Mus musculus: one gene and its partners. The protein of the gene in region 1 interacts with the protein of each later gene in a pairwise test. Links are inferred from orthologs where the notes say so. Each region holds a gene or a part of one and is shown on either strand. Other genes may lie near its edges.

Region 1 (3,678 bases):
TAAGGACATAGGAAGAAGGAAGATTCTCTTCTTCACGGGCTTGCACTTACTTGCCAGCACATCTGTCGGAACCTACTTCTACAGAAGACCAGCTGAAAGAACTAGCCACGTGGGACTGCGCAACTACTAGATTCTTGGACTTCCCATCCACAGCTGCCCATTGTTGGGTTAGCCTGTAAGTCATCACGATTAATTATAGAGAGAGAAACATTCACTAGGTTCTGTAGCTCTAGAGAACCCCTGGCTAATACATCACCCAACCGGAGGAGGGGAAAAGACGCACCTCGGTCTGCAGCCAAGATAACTCACCTACTACAGCTTGCCGGTTAAATTGCCAAACCTCAGCCAGTCGGAAGTGACGTGCCAGCATAGACTCTCAGGTCGGCCACGTAATACACCGCCGCCTTAAACAGCAACCCTCCCCCAGAATTGACCCGGAGACCGGGAAAGTGTGGCCCAACGCCCACAACCCGTAGCCGCCCAGGCCTCTGCGGTTCCCAGCCCCACCGAGGACCAGCTTGAGCCTCTGCGGGCTCGCTGACCGCGCAGCTCTGCCAGCCCAGCCACGGCGCGCTGCCCGCCATGGGGTTCGGCGTCTCGCCACGCGCATGCGCGGCCCTCAGTCTCCGGGGGACCGCTCTGGTCACCTGGGCGCCAGCACCTCAGCCACGGGAAGCGGCGGGTTCCCTCTCGCCCGGTAAACTAGCCGCGCAGGCCCTCGCCTCCGGCTCTCCGCCCGCCACCCGCCGCGGGCCCGACTAGGCCCTGGCACGGCGGCTCGGCGCCGCGCAGCTGTCTTCCATCGCCGCAGCGCGGCTTCCGCTTCCGGCGAGTATTGTGTGTCGCGCCGCGGGGCGGGGGTGAGGGGAGGAGGAAGGAGGGAGGCAGTGCTCCGGCGGCTCCGCGCCCGGCACTCCGGGACCCGGAGCCGGGAAGGTAGGTGCTGCGCCGCCGCCACAAGGGTCCCGCAGCCGGCTCCAGCGAGCGGGCTCCTCTCGCCGCGGCCCTACGCCCGGCGAGTACGTCAGCCGGCCGGCGCGCAACCACAGCTGCCTCCGCCCGCCTCGGGCCCGGAGGACGTTTGCCGCCCCGGCGACGTCAGCGCGTCCGGCGTTGCTTGGCTACCCCGCCGTTCCCCTGTCCCGCTGCCTTTGGTCTCCCCGGGTGAAACTGACGCAGTCATCGCGGGTCTGGGCTGCGACATGGCAGCGGGCATCCCACCTTCACGTCACACCTCTCCCTCACTTAGACACGCATCCGTTCCTCCCTGCCAAGCACGACGTATGCTCCCTCACTCTGGTCCTCATGCTCCCGATATGGCTGGAGAAGATGGAGAACGGGTGGGACAGAGTTGTGGCCAGTGCTTGAAAGAGGCTCCTGAGGTGGTACCCAATAGTGATTAAAGGCAAAACGTGGACGTCTCTGACGCGATTACTTACACTGAGATCGAGTAATGGAGAGTGGGAGGAAGGATCAAGCCAGAGGAGCACAAGGCCATATTATGGCTGCCCTCTACACCACCACCACACCACCCCCAGCTCCAAATCCTCTCCGTTCTTCACTATCCTTGAGCCCGTTTCTCTCTCATACCATCTATTTGCTAATTAGATACATGCAGGTCTCTCAAGTGTGAATATGGTTCAGTTTTAGGTGAGGATGCCACTTATCTGTAGGATTGAGGAGGAGGAGGCTAAGTCACTAGTCAAAACTGGATTCTAATGGGCAGAGAAGAAAGAAATCATCCAACTGTACTTATCTGGATCAATTCTTTTCTCCATTAAAAGAGGATAAGTTACCAACTCCTACTTAAAATCCTTCCATTTGTACCACCAGTATACAGAAATAATCATTGTTGCCCCAATTCATTACATGGGCACTTTTCTGTCGATGGGTAGACCTATCAAATTTCCTTCCTTTTTGGGGGGCCCCTTTTGGGACAGAAGGAAAGTAGGGGGTTATGGGACCAGATAAATTAGCTTACTTATGTATTGACATCTTAAGAATGGAGAGCTTTGGTTGTCTCTTTCCATACACTTATTCATTTATTGAGACCAATAACTATTTATTGGTTATATTTAATTTAGGCTGGCCTCGAGTTCCTGAGGCTCCTGCCTTTGCCTCCTCGGTACATGCGCTACCTACCTAGTATTAACCATACCTGGCTAATTTCCTTCCTAATCACTGACTATCTAAGGAGTTAGTTATCAGTAGTGACGTTGAAAGACTGCAGTCACCACTGAATGTTTAGAATGTACTTGCCAGCTCTCTCTCCAAGAAGCTGCTGCCCTCAATGCACTCAATGGTGCTTCCTTAGAGCTGATATGTATTTGTTGCTTTGCAGCCATCCCAGCTGCACACAAATAGAAATGCGGTGAGTGACAGGAGCATCTTCAAGAAGAGAGCGTTCTTCCTTTGGGCTAGTTTGGGGAAAGGAAGAACCATGTCATGCTTTCCCTGAAACAGTGTGTTACTGTAGTGTAACTCATTAAGAGGAACAGCAGACAATCAAGGCTAGACTCTAAAACAATAAACTTCCTATGACGTTAGAAGAAGTAGCTTGGGGTTCTTTGAAATCGATGCAGTAATTATATATGAAGTTCTTTAAAGTAGTAATGAGTTCTAGGGCTGATAGTCAGTTTTAATAGATATGTAGATATATTATTTGTTTTACAAATCTTACTCTACAGCCCAGGCTAGCCTTATTCTTGTATTGATCCTCCTGCCTCACAGTGAGCCACCATGCCCAGCTAAAATCTTAATACTTTGGCTTATGTGACATATCTCATTTCCCATGGTTCCCTCCCTGTAGAAATAAGATCTGTGTAATTCAAGCTAACCTAGAACTCATTGTGTAGCCTACGTTGGCCTTCAGCTAATGACAGTCCCCCTACCTTGACCTCAAAAATGGCTAGGGAAATGGGTTTCAGTCGCCATATCAGGCTCCTTTTCATTGCTGGTATTGAAAAAGCAGAGGTAAAGAAATTCTGGGCACTGCTGATATTTGCTGACTCAAAATAATAATAAAATAATAATAACAGTGATGGGGAGAGGTCACACACACTGTAAATAGACCAACAGATGAAAAGGTGGAAATGGGAGAATACCAAGATGGGGCTTCATCTAGACCTATGGCTTACTGGGAGCTAATGTCAGGAAACAAAATAACCCTCCAACTAACACTTCTTTCCTCTCTCCCTGCCTCCAAGTTATAATGGCAGAGACAAGTCTGTTAGAGGCTGGAACCTCTGCAGCCTCCACAGCCGCTGCTCTGGAGAACCTGCAGGTGGAAGCAAGCTGTTCTGTATGCCTAGAGTATCTGAAGGAGCCAGTTATTATTGAATGTGGGCACAACTTCTGCAAAGCGTGCATTACCCGCTGGTGGGAAGACCTAGAGCGGGACTTCCCTTGCCCTGTCTGTCGGAAGACATCCCGATACCGGAGTCTCCGGCCTAACCGACAGCTAGGCAGTATGGTGGAAATCGCCAAGCAGCTCCAGACGGTCAAGCGGAAGATCAGAGATGAAAGCCTCTGCTCCCAGCACCACGAACCTCTTAGCCTTTTCTGCTATGAAGACCAGGAGGCTGTCTGTCTGATATGTGCAATTTCTCATACCCACCGGCCCCACACCGTCGTGCCGATGGATGATGCTACACAGGAATACAAGGTAGGCAGCCAGGC
Region 2 (3,653 bases), on another chromosome or scaffold:
GAGGTCCATTTTTAAGGTTGGCCTAAGCAAAATACTTTAAGAATAAATGATTATTTAAATTAGCATCCAGTAGTTCTCATTTTACCTTATAACTTTGCATAAGCAAGAAGATTTAGTCGCCAGGCGGTAGTGGCGCACACCTTTGATCCCAGCACACAGGAGGCAGAGGCAGGTGGATTCCTGAGTTCGAGGCCAGCCTGGTCTACAAAGTGAGTTCCAGGACAGCCAGGGCTACACAGAGAAACCCTGTCTCGAAAAATCCAAACAAAAGATGATGACTTGGGAACAAAACACCCATGGAAGGAGTTACAGAGACAAAGTTTGGAGCTGAGATGAAAGGATGGACCTCGTAGAGACTGCCATATCCAGGGATCCACCCCATAATCAGCATCCAAACGCTGACACCATTGCATACACTAGCAAGATTTTATTGAAAGGACCCAGATGTAGCTGTCTCTTGTGAGACTATGCCGGGGCCTAGCAAACACAGAAGTGGATGCTCACAGTCAGCTAATGGATGGATCATAGGGCTCCCAATGGAGGAGCTAGAGAAAGTAGCCAAGGAGCTAAAGGGATCTGCAACCCTATAGGTGGAACAACATTATGAACTAACCAGTACCCCGGAGCTCTTGACTCTAGCTGCATATATATCAAAAGATGGCCTAGTCGGCCATCACTGGAAAGAGAGGCCCATTGGACTTGCAAACTTTATATGCCCCAGTACAGGGGAACACCAGGGCCAAAAAGGGGGAGTGGGTGGGCAGGGGAGTGGGGGTGGGTGGATATGGGGGACTTTTGGTATAGCATTGGAAATGTAAATGAGCTAAATACCTAATAAAAAATGGAAAAAAAAAAAGAATTACAGGAAAATACAACCAAAAAAAAAAAAAAAAAAAAGATGATGACTTAGTCAAGAGACCTTTTCTGTGTCTGGGATAGCTTTGTTGCCTATTTTGTTTGTTTAATTGTATTTATTTTTTTATATGTATGAGTATTTGGCCTGTATCTGTGCATTATATGCTGTGCCTAATGCTGAGGAGGTGTGGCTCCCCTGGGACTGGAGTTACAGATGGATATGAGCCACCTTGTGGGTGTTGGGAGTGGAACCCAGGTCTTACTATCGCTCCCATCCTGCCATCTGATCTTCACCATGTTACTCTCTGCAAACCTACCTTTTTCCTTATATCAAAGATTAACTATGAATTTCTTGGTAAATAACAAAATCTATCTTAATTTTTAAAGCTATTTTTATAGATACTATGAAAAGCATTAAAGTACCTAGTAAAAAAAGAATATTTGATATTCATCCTGCTTGTTGTAAGGATAAATTGTACGCAGTTTCTTTTCTTGTTTATGAATATTACTGCATTTGCAAGTCTTAGACTAGTGAGGTTCAGAAAGTGTCAAAGTGTGCCTAGGTATGAATGGTCATGATTGCATCATGTAGAAATCACTGATACAAGTTAATGGTAGTAGTGTTATTATACTGATGACAGATGATACATTTAAACTTTATTCTTTTTTAGTTATCCAAGCATTAGGTGAACATCTTAAATTAAGACAACAAGTTATTGCTACTGCTACAGTCTATTTCAAGAGATTCTATGCTAGGTATGGTTGTTTTATTCATTTATTTTTTTAATGCCTGGTTGAAATTCTTTTCTAATTTTCATGTACAATATATAAGTAAATCACTTGTTTAGTGTAGAATTATGATTCCCCATCCCCACCCCCACCCCCAGTGTGTTTTCTAAAGAGTCATCACATCATTTAACTCTTGTCTAATTGTATTTTTAGGTATTCTCTGAAAAGTATAGATCCTGTATTAATGGCGCCTACATGTGTGTTTCTGGCATCCAAAGTAGAGGTATAAAACAATTTTCTGTTCTTCATCCAAGTATCACTGTCTGGTTAATCTTTGTGTGTGTGTGTATATATATATATATATATATATATATATATGTGTGTGTGTGTGTGTGTGTGTGTGTGTGTGTGTGTATGCCTTTGTATGAATAATCATAAGTGGTAGTTTATCTGAACTGATGAAAACACATCTTGCAAATATTTTTTTAATAACTATGTCACTACATATCAGATGATTTAATGAGGCCCTTTACAAGTTCTAATTCAATCCTATAACTGGAGTATACAGTAGTAGAATCCATTTTGGGTAAAAGGGCCAAAGAAAAAACACGCTGGATTCTGAGACCAGGGCCAGGGAAAGAACACCCTGACCTTGACTTGAGCCCAAGCAAGAAAGCAAGGCCAAGAAAAAGAATCCTGTCAGTCCCTGAGCTTGCCCCAAGATCACATCAATCCCATGCTGCCCTGGAGAGCAGTCCCGGCCCCACCCCTCTAATACATCCTGCCTTCTCAGATTCCTGTTGCTTCTGCTTCCCCTTCTCCTTCTTGCTCAAGCAGAGTTGCAAACACCTTCTCTTGTCCTTCCCAATAAATCTTGTGACGTTTGTTGTGCAGTGTGACTTTGTGGTGTTCCTTGGCTCCTGACTAGAAGAATGTCTTTCCTTCAGAGATGTCACACAAGGGAAACCATTCCCCTCCGAGCTGTAACACTTCTATAAGGAAACTTTCCCCTCAGAACTGCAGTACTTTCGTAGAGTAAACCTTTCCCCTCAGAACTGTAACACTTGAAACCCTCATTTTATAAGTGAGGAAACAAAGGCATAGAGAGACCCGTGTTCATATTGCCAGGTCAGTGAGTCCTGATTGTCTAGATCTTCATCTGCAGCTTAATTGCTTCGCTATCTTTAAAAGACTGGCTGAGTGTGGTGGCACGTGCCTTTAATCCCAGCACCGGGGAGGCAGAGGCAGGTAGATATCTTTGTGTTCAAGGCCAGCTTGAACTACATAGTGAATTCTGAGTTCCAAGATAGCCAGAGCAATGTAGTAAGACCCTGTCTTGAAACAAGAACCAAAAAAAAAAAAAAAAGATTGTTTGGGCCTGAGGATGTCTGCCCCTCCCCCTTGTGATGCTCTGTGTTTAACCTGTCTTCATTGGTAACAAGCCACTGGGGAGAGAAAGAAGAGAGACTTTGTAGACTCTAGCCAGGAAAGGTGTGGACGGTGGGAACAGAAACAGTAGGTGAGAAAGATGTCAGAGGAGGACTTGACCAGAAACTGCATTTCTGCTCAACTGACTGTTTTCATTATTATTAAGAAAGTTTAACTTTCAGCTAAAACCCAAATAATATCAGATTCTGAGAACTGGCTTTTTTTCTTAACTAATCCACACACTCCCTAGTCTATTGTTTCTGTCCTTAGGTGATGTCTTTAGAATAATTCTGTCCCTGTGAACTGAATACGAGTTTAACCAGGAAGATTCTATTTCTCTTGTGTTCATTTTTATTTTAGAAGCCTCCATGGCATCTTTATTATCTCCTAAGTAAGCAGAATTGACTATATTAGAAATACTAAAACCTTTTCTAGGAACCTAATTTAACTCTGTCCATGGTTTCTTGAGATAAAGTTTGAATAAATCTCATTACAGAAGTCAGTTACAGAGTGTTTACCTAGTTCCCATGAGGGCTGGTTTCAGTCCTTAGGACCAGATGTACGTAGAATGTCTTTTTGAATAAAGAGGTCTTGTAGGTGAGGTATATTTCAGTTGTGGTTGTTGAATTACTTTTTCTTCT
Region 3 (3,653 bases), on another chromosome or scaffold:
AAACATCTTTAATCCCAGCATTCAGGAGATAGAGCCAGACAGATCTCTAGGAAACCAGCCTGCTCTACACAGTGGAGTTCTAGACCCTACCTCAAACAAGCAAACCCCAAACCAAAAAGCCAGTAAGTCAACTAATAACTATAATCAGGCAACTAAACCACTAAGTGACCAACCAACCAAATTCATGACCATCTTAAATATCTTATTAGGGGGTGGACACAGAGCTTAGCAGGTAAAGACCTGTGCAAACATAAGAACCTAAGCTTGGATCCCTAGTAGCCATGTAAAAGCCAGGCATACACCTGTAACCCGGGACCTGTAACCCTGGGATGTGTGTGTGTGTGTGTGTGTGTGTGTGTGTGTGTGTGTGTGTGTACCTTGGAAACAGAAGATGACCCTGGAGGCTTGCTATTCAGACAGTCTAGTTGCAACAGAGATACACATAGGAGAGAGAAGTTATCTCAAAAAATAAGGAGGAAGGTGATAGTAGAAGACATCAGAAGTCAACCTCTGGCCTCCACAAGCACAGTGAGCATACTTGTACAAACACAAACTAATACTACCCTTGGACGATAGGAAAATAGCGAATCTACTAGTAACACCCCAAAACCAGGCACTAAGGGATCTTTAAAGCAGAAAAGACAGGGCTGGCAAGTAAGGGTATCTTTTAAGTCTGACAACCTGAGTCCCATTCTTAGAACTCACATGGTAGAGAAAGCCAACTTCCACAGGTTGCTGACCCACACATGCCCTGACAAAGTGCACCCCTCCCACATACACCATCAATACATGCAAAAACAAATACACAACACAAATACAAAGTGATCTGGCAGGAAGGACTGCCAGGCTGCACTCCAGGACGGCGCTGCTTGCGGTTACCTGTCATTCCTGTCATCACACAGCCAATGCTTTCCGTTATCTTGAACAAGTGAGTCACTGTGCTGGAATCCAGTAGTTTGTCCTAAAGAACAAAATAAACCACCGCCATGTCATTTTAAAGTCCACAGCCTCTGCACACTTATAAAAAACCACCAGTGTGGAACTGGAGCAATAAACTGTAAAATAGGAGTTATGAGCTATGTGTGTTCTGTTCATTTTACAGTTAAAACCAATCTTTCAAAAGGGGTAGAGGAAGATGTTTTTTCTAGATGTTTTCTGTGGATTAAAGATCCCAGAAAACAAAGGACTTAGAAATCTCATCCCACTTATTGTGACTTATTGTGACAATCTCAGCCTAAAAGGGTCCAGCTGCTCAGGGTTCCTTGAGTGATTAGTAAAAAGGCAGAGTCAGACCAAGACAAATGTTAATGTAAATTGGTAATATAACCCTGTTCAAAAATCACAGAAAATTCCTACATTTGATTTTGCAGCCATTGACTGGCTGGGCAGTATTACTTACGGGTACTTTCTTCTGTGTGACAATAACTGCACAGTCCTTTCCTCTGACAGCAACAGATGTAAGTCCACCCTGGTTAATAGCCTTAAAAGCATATTCTGGAAAAACAAAACAGGTTTTTGTTTGTTTGTTTGTTTGTTTGTTTGTTTTTTAAAAGGTGGACTAGGACCTGGGGATGTTGCTCAGTTGATAAGAGTGTTGGTTTAAGCCAGGCGTGGTGGCGCATGCCTTTAATCCCAGCGCTTGGGAGGCAGAGACAGGCAGATTTCTGAGTTCAAGGCCAGCCTGGCCTACAAAGGGAGTTCCAGGACAGTCAGGGCTATACAGAGAAACCCTGTCTCGAAACACCAAAAGAAAAAAGTGTTGGTTTAGTAAGCACAAAATACTGGATCAATCTGAGTTTGGTGACTACAATGTTAGCATTTGGTGGGCAGATAGGAGAGTCAGAATTCAAGGTCATCTTTGTACAGAGAGTTTGAGGCCAGCCTGAGATACAAGAGACCCTGTCTTTAAAAAAAATAGGAACATTTTCTTTCCATTTTTGAGCCAGGATCTCATTATGTAGCTCTGGCTGGCCTGGACCTCCTGAGTGCTGGGATTAAAAAGCATGTCTGGCTAAGGTGGGATAATTTTTTTTTCTTAAATAAATTTTTTTTATTTATTAGGTATTTTTTTCATTTACATTTCCAATACTATCCCAAAAGTCCCCCATACCCTACCCCCCCCACTCCCCTACCCACCCACTCCCACTTCTTGGCCCTGGCGTTCCCCTGTACTAAGGCATATAAAGTTTGTAAGACCAATGGGCCTCTCTTTCCAATGATGGCCGACTAGGCCATCTTCTGATTCATATGCAGCTAGAGAAACGAGCTGGAGGGGTGGTTGGTTAGTTCATATTGTTGTTCCACCTATAGGGTTGGGTACTATAGCTCCTTGGGTACTTTCTCTAGCTCCTCCATTGGGGGCCCTGTGTTCCATCCAATAGATGACTGTGAACATCCACTTCTGTATTTTTATCATAGCTCTTACATGGAAACTAATAAACCATCATTAAAAGAATCAGGTTAAGCTATAGGAATGTAGAATGCCAACCAAGAGAAGTAAAGTCAAAATAATAAAAATGTCAATCAACCAGTGTAACCAGCTTCATTTCTTCCAGTTTTATTTTACTGAATTTTCATTAGGTTCAAGTGCCAAATTTTGAAATGAATTCTACTCTAAGTTTATCACAGCAGATCTTAATATGTCTTATCATTTTCAAAGCTGTTCTATGGGCACAGTGTCATCACGCCTGCTTTCCCTAGGTCAAAACTGGTGCTCTAAAGATTTAGTGCTTCTGCTGATTTTTGGTCAATAACTTACTACATGCAGTTTTAATATTTGGTATTAGATTTCATATTAATATTGTCTACCAGTTGACGTTTAATCCTAGCATGGTCCTGGCCAGCCAGGGTTACATGATGAGATCTTATCTCAAGAATGGAAAGAAAATGTTGCAATTTTTGTAACTTACAATTAACATAGGGCTTTTCAGTTTATTACAAACTTCAGAATGTGTACTTGTAACTACTTACTCTCAATGCACTCTCTGGTTTGAAAGACTGGTGTCAAGATGGGAGCAAATACAAACTACTCTGGTATCCCACAGTTTACTTAGTAAGGACCATCTTTGATGAGATGAGATCAGAAATATGGCTATCATTTTCTGTGTTAATACAGAAGATAATTTTTGTTTTCCTTTTTTGAAACAGGGTTTCTCTGTGTAGCTCTGGTTGTCCTGGCACTAGTTCTACAGATCAAGCTAGCCTAGAATTCACAGATATCTGCTTTCCTCTGCCTCCAAAGTGCTGGGATTAAGGTATGTGCCACCATCAGCCAGCTCAGAAATTTTTTCTTAAAATTACTTATAATTCCAATTATGACCTAAATTTTTCTACATAGTAGACAATCTCAAAACTTAACTTTAAGTGATACTCTGGACACTGGTTCTAAGGACTAGCCAGAGGCTTTATAAATGACCAGGATAAGAAACACATGCATTCAATGTTCCTCCATGGCTTCTGTTTCAGTCCCTGAGTCCAGGTTCCTTGTTTGAGATCCTACACTGACTTCTCACAGTGATGCACTGTGATCATGAAATGAAAACCATATAGACTTTTCCCTCCCCAAGTTGTTTCTGGTCATAGTGGTTTGCCAAAGCAATGGAAACCTAGCTAGGGTACCTACTGACTTGAGTTCAATCCCCAGAACTGATATC

Evidence for each region.
Region 2: the proteins of Trim39 (region 1) and Ccnc interact in binary tests that used the Homo sapiens proteins (3 or more experiments, as listed by UniProt). The two-hybrid records come from large-scale screens. The link is inferred for Mus musculus from reciprocal best matches to the Homo sapiens genes TRIM39 and CCNC.
Region 3: the proteins of Trim39 (region 1) and Psma6 interact in binary tests that used the Homo sapiens proteins (3 or more experiments, as listed by UniProt). The two-hybrid records come from large-scale screens. The link is inferred for Mus musculus from reciprocal best matches to the Homo sapiens genes TRIM39 and PSMA6.

The regions. Positions count from the first base shown.
Region 1 is NC_000083.6:36,268,595-36,272,272, reverse strand, and holds the start of Trim39 (E3 ubiquitin-protein ligase TRIM39), read left to right. Parts: upstream 1-839; 5' UTR 840-936; intron 937-1,495; exon of another isoform or gene 1,496-3,206; 5' UTR 3,207-3,211; coding exon 3,212-3,664; intron 3,665-3,678.
Region 2 is NC_000070.6:21,730,692-21,734,344, forward strand, and holds part of Ccnc (cyclin-C), read left to right. Parts: intron 1-1,526; coding exon 1,527-1,611; intron 1,612-1,797; coding exon 1,798-1,867; intron 1,868-3,653. UniProt on the Homo sapiens protein: Component of the Mediator complex, a coactivator involved in regulated gene transcription of nearly all RNA polymerase II-dependent genes.
Region 3 is NC_000078.6:55,405,310-55,408,962, reverse strand, and holds part of Psma6 (proteasome subunit alpha type-6), read right to left. Parts: intron 1,495-3,653; coding exon 1,400-1,494; intron 962-1,399; coding exon 880-961; intron 1-879. UniProt on the Homo sapiens protein: Component of the 20S core proteasome complex involved in the proteolytic degradation of most intracellular proteins. This complex plays numerous essential roles within the cell by associating with different regulatory particles.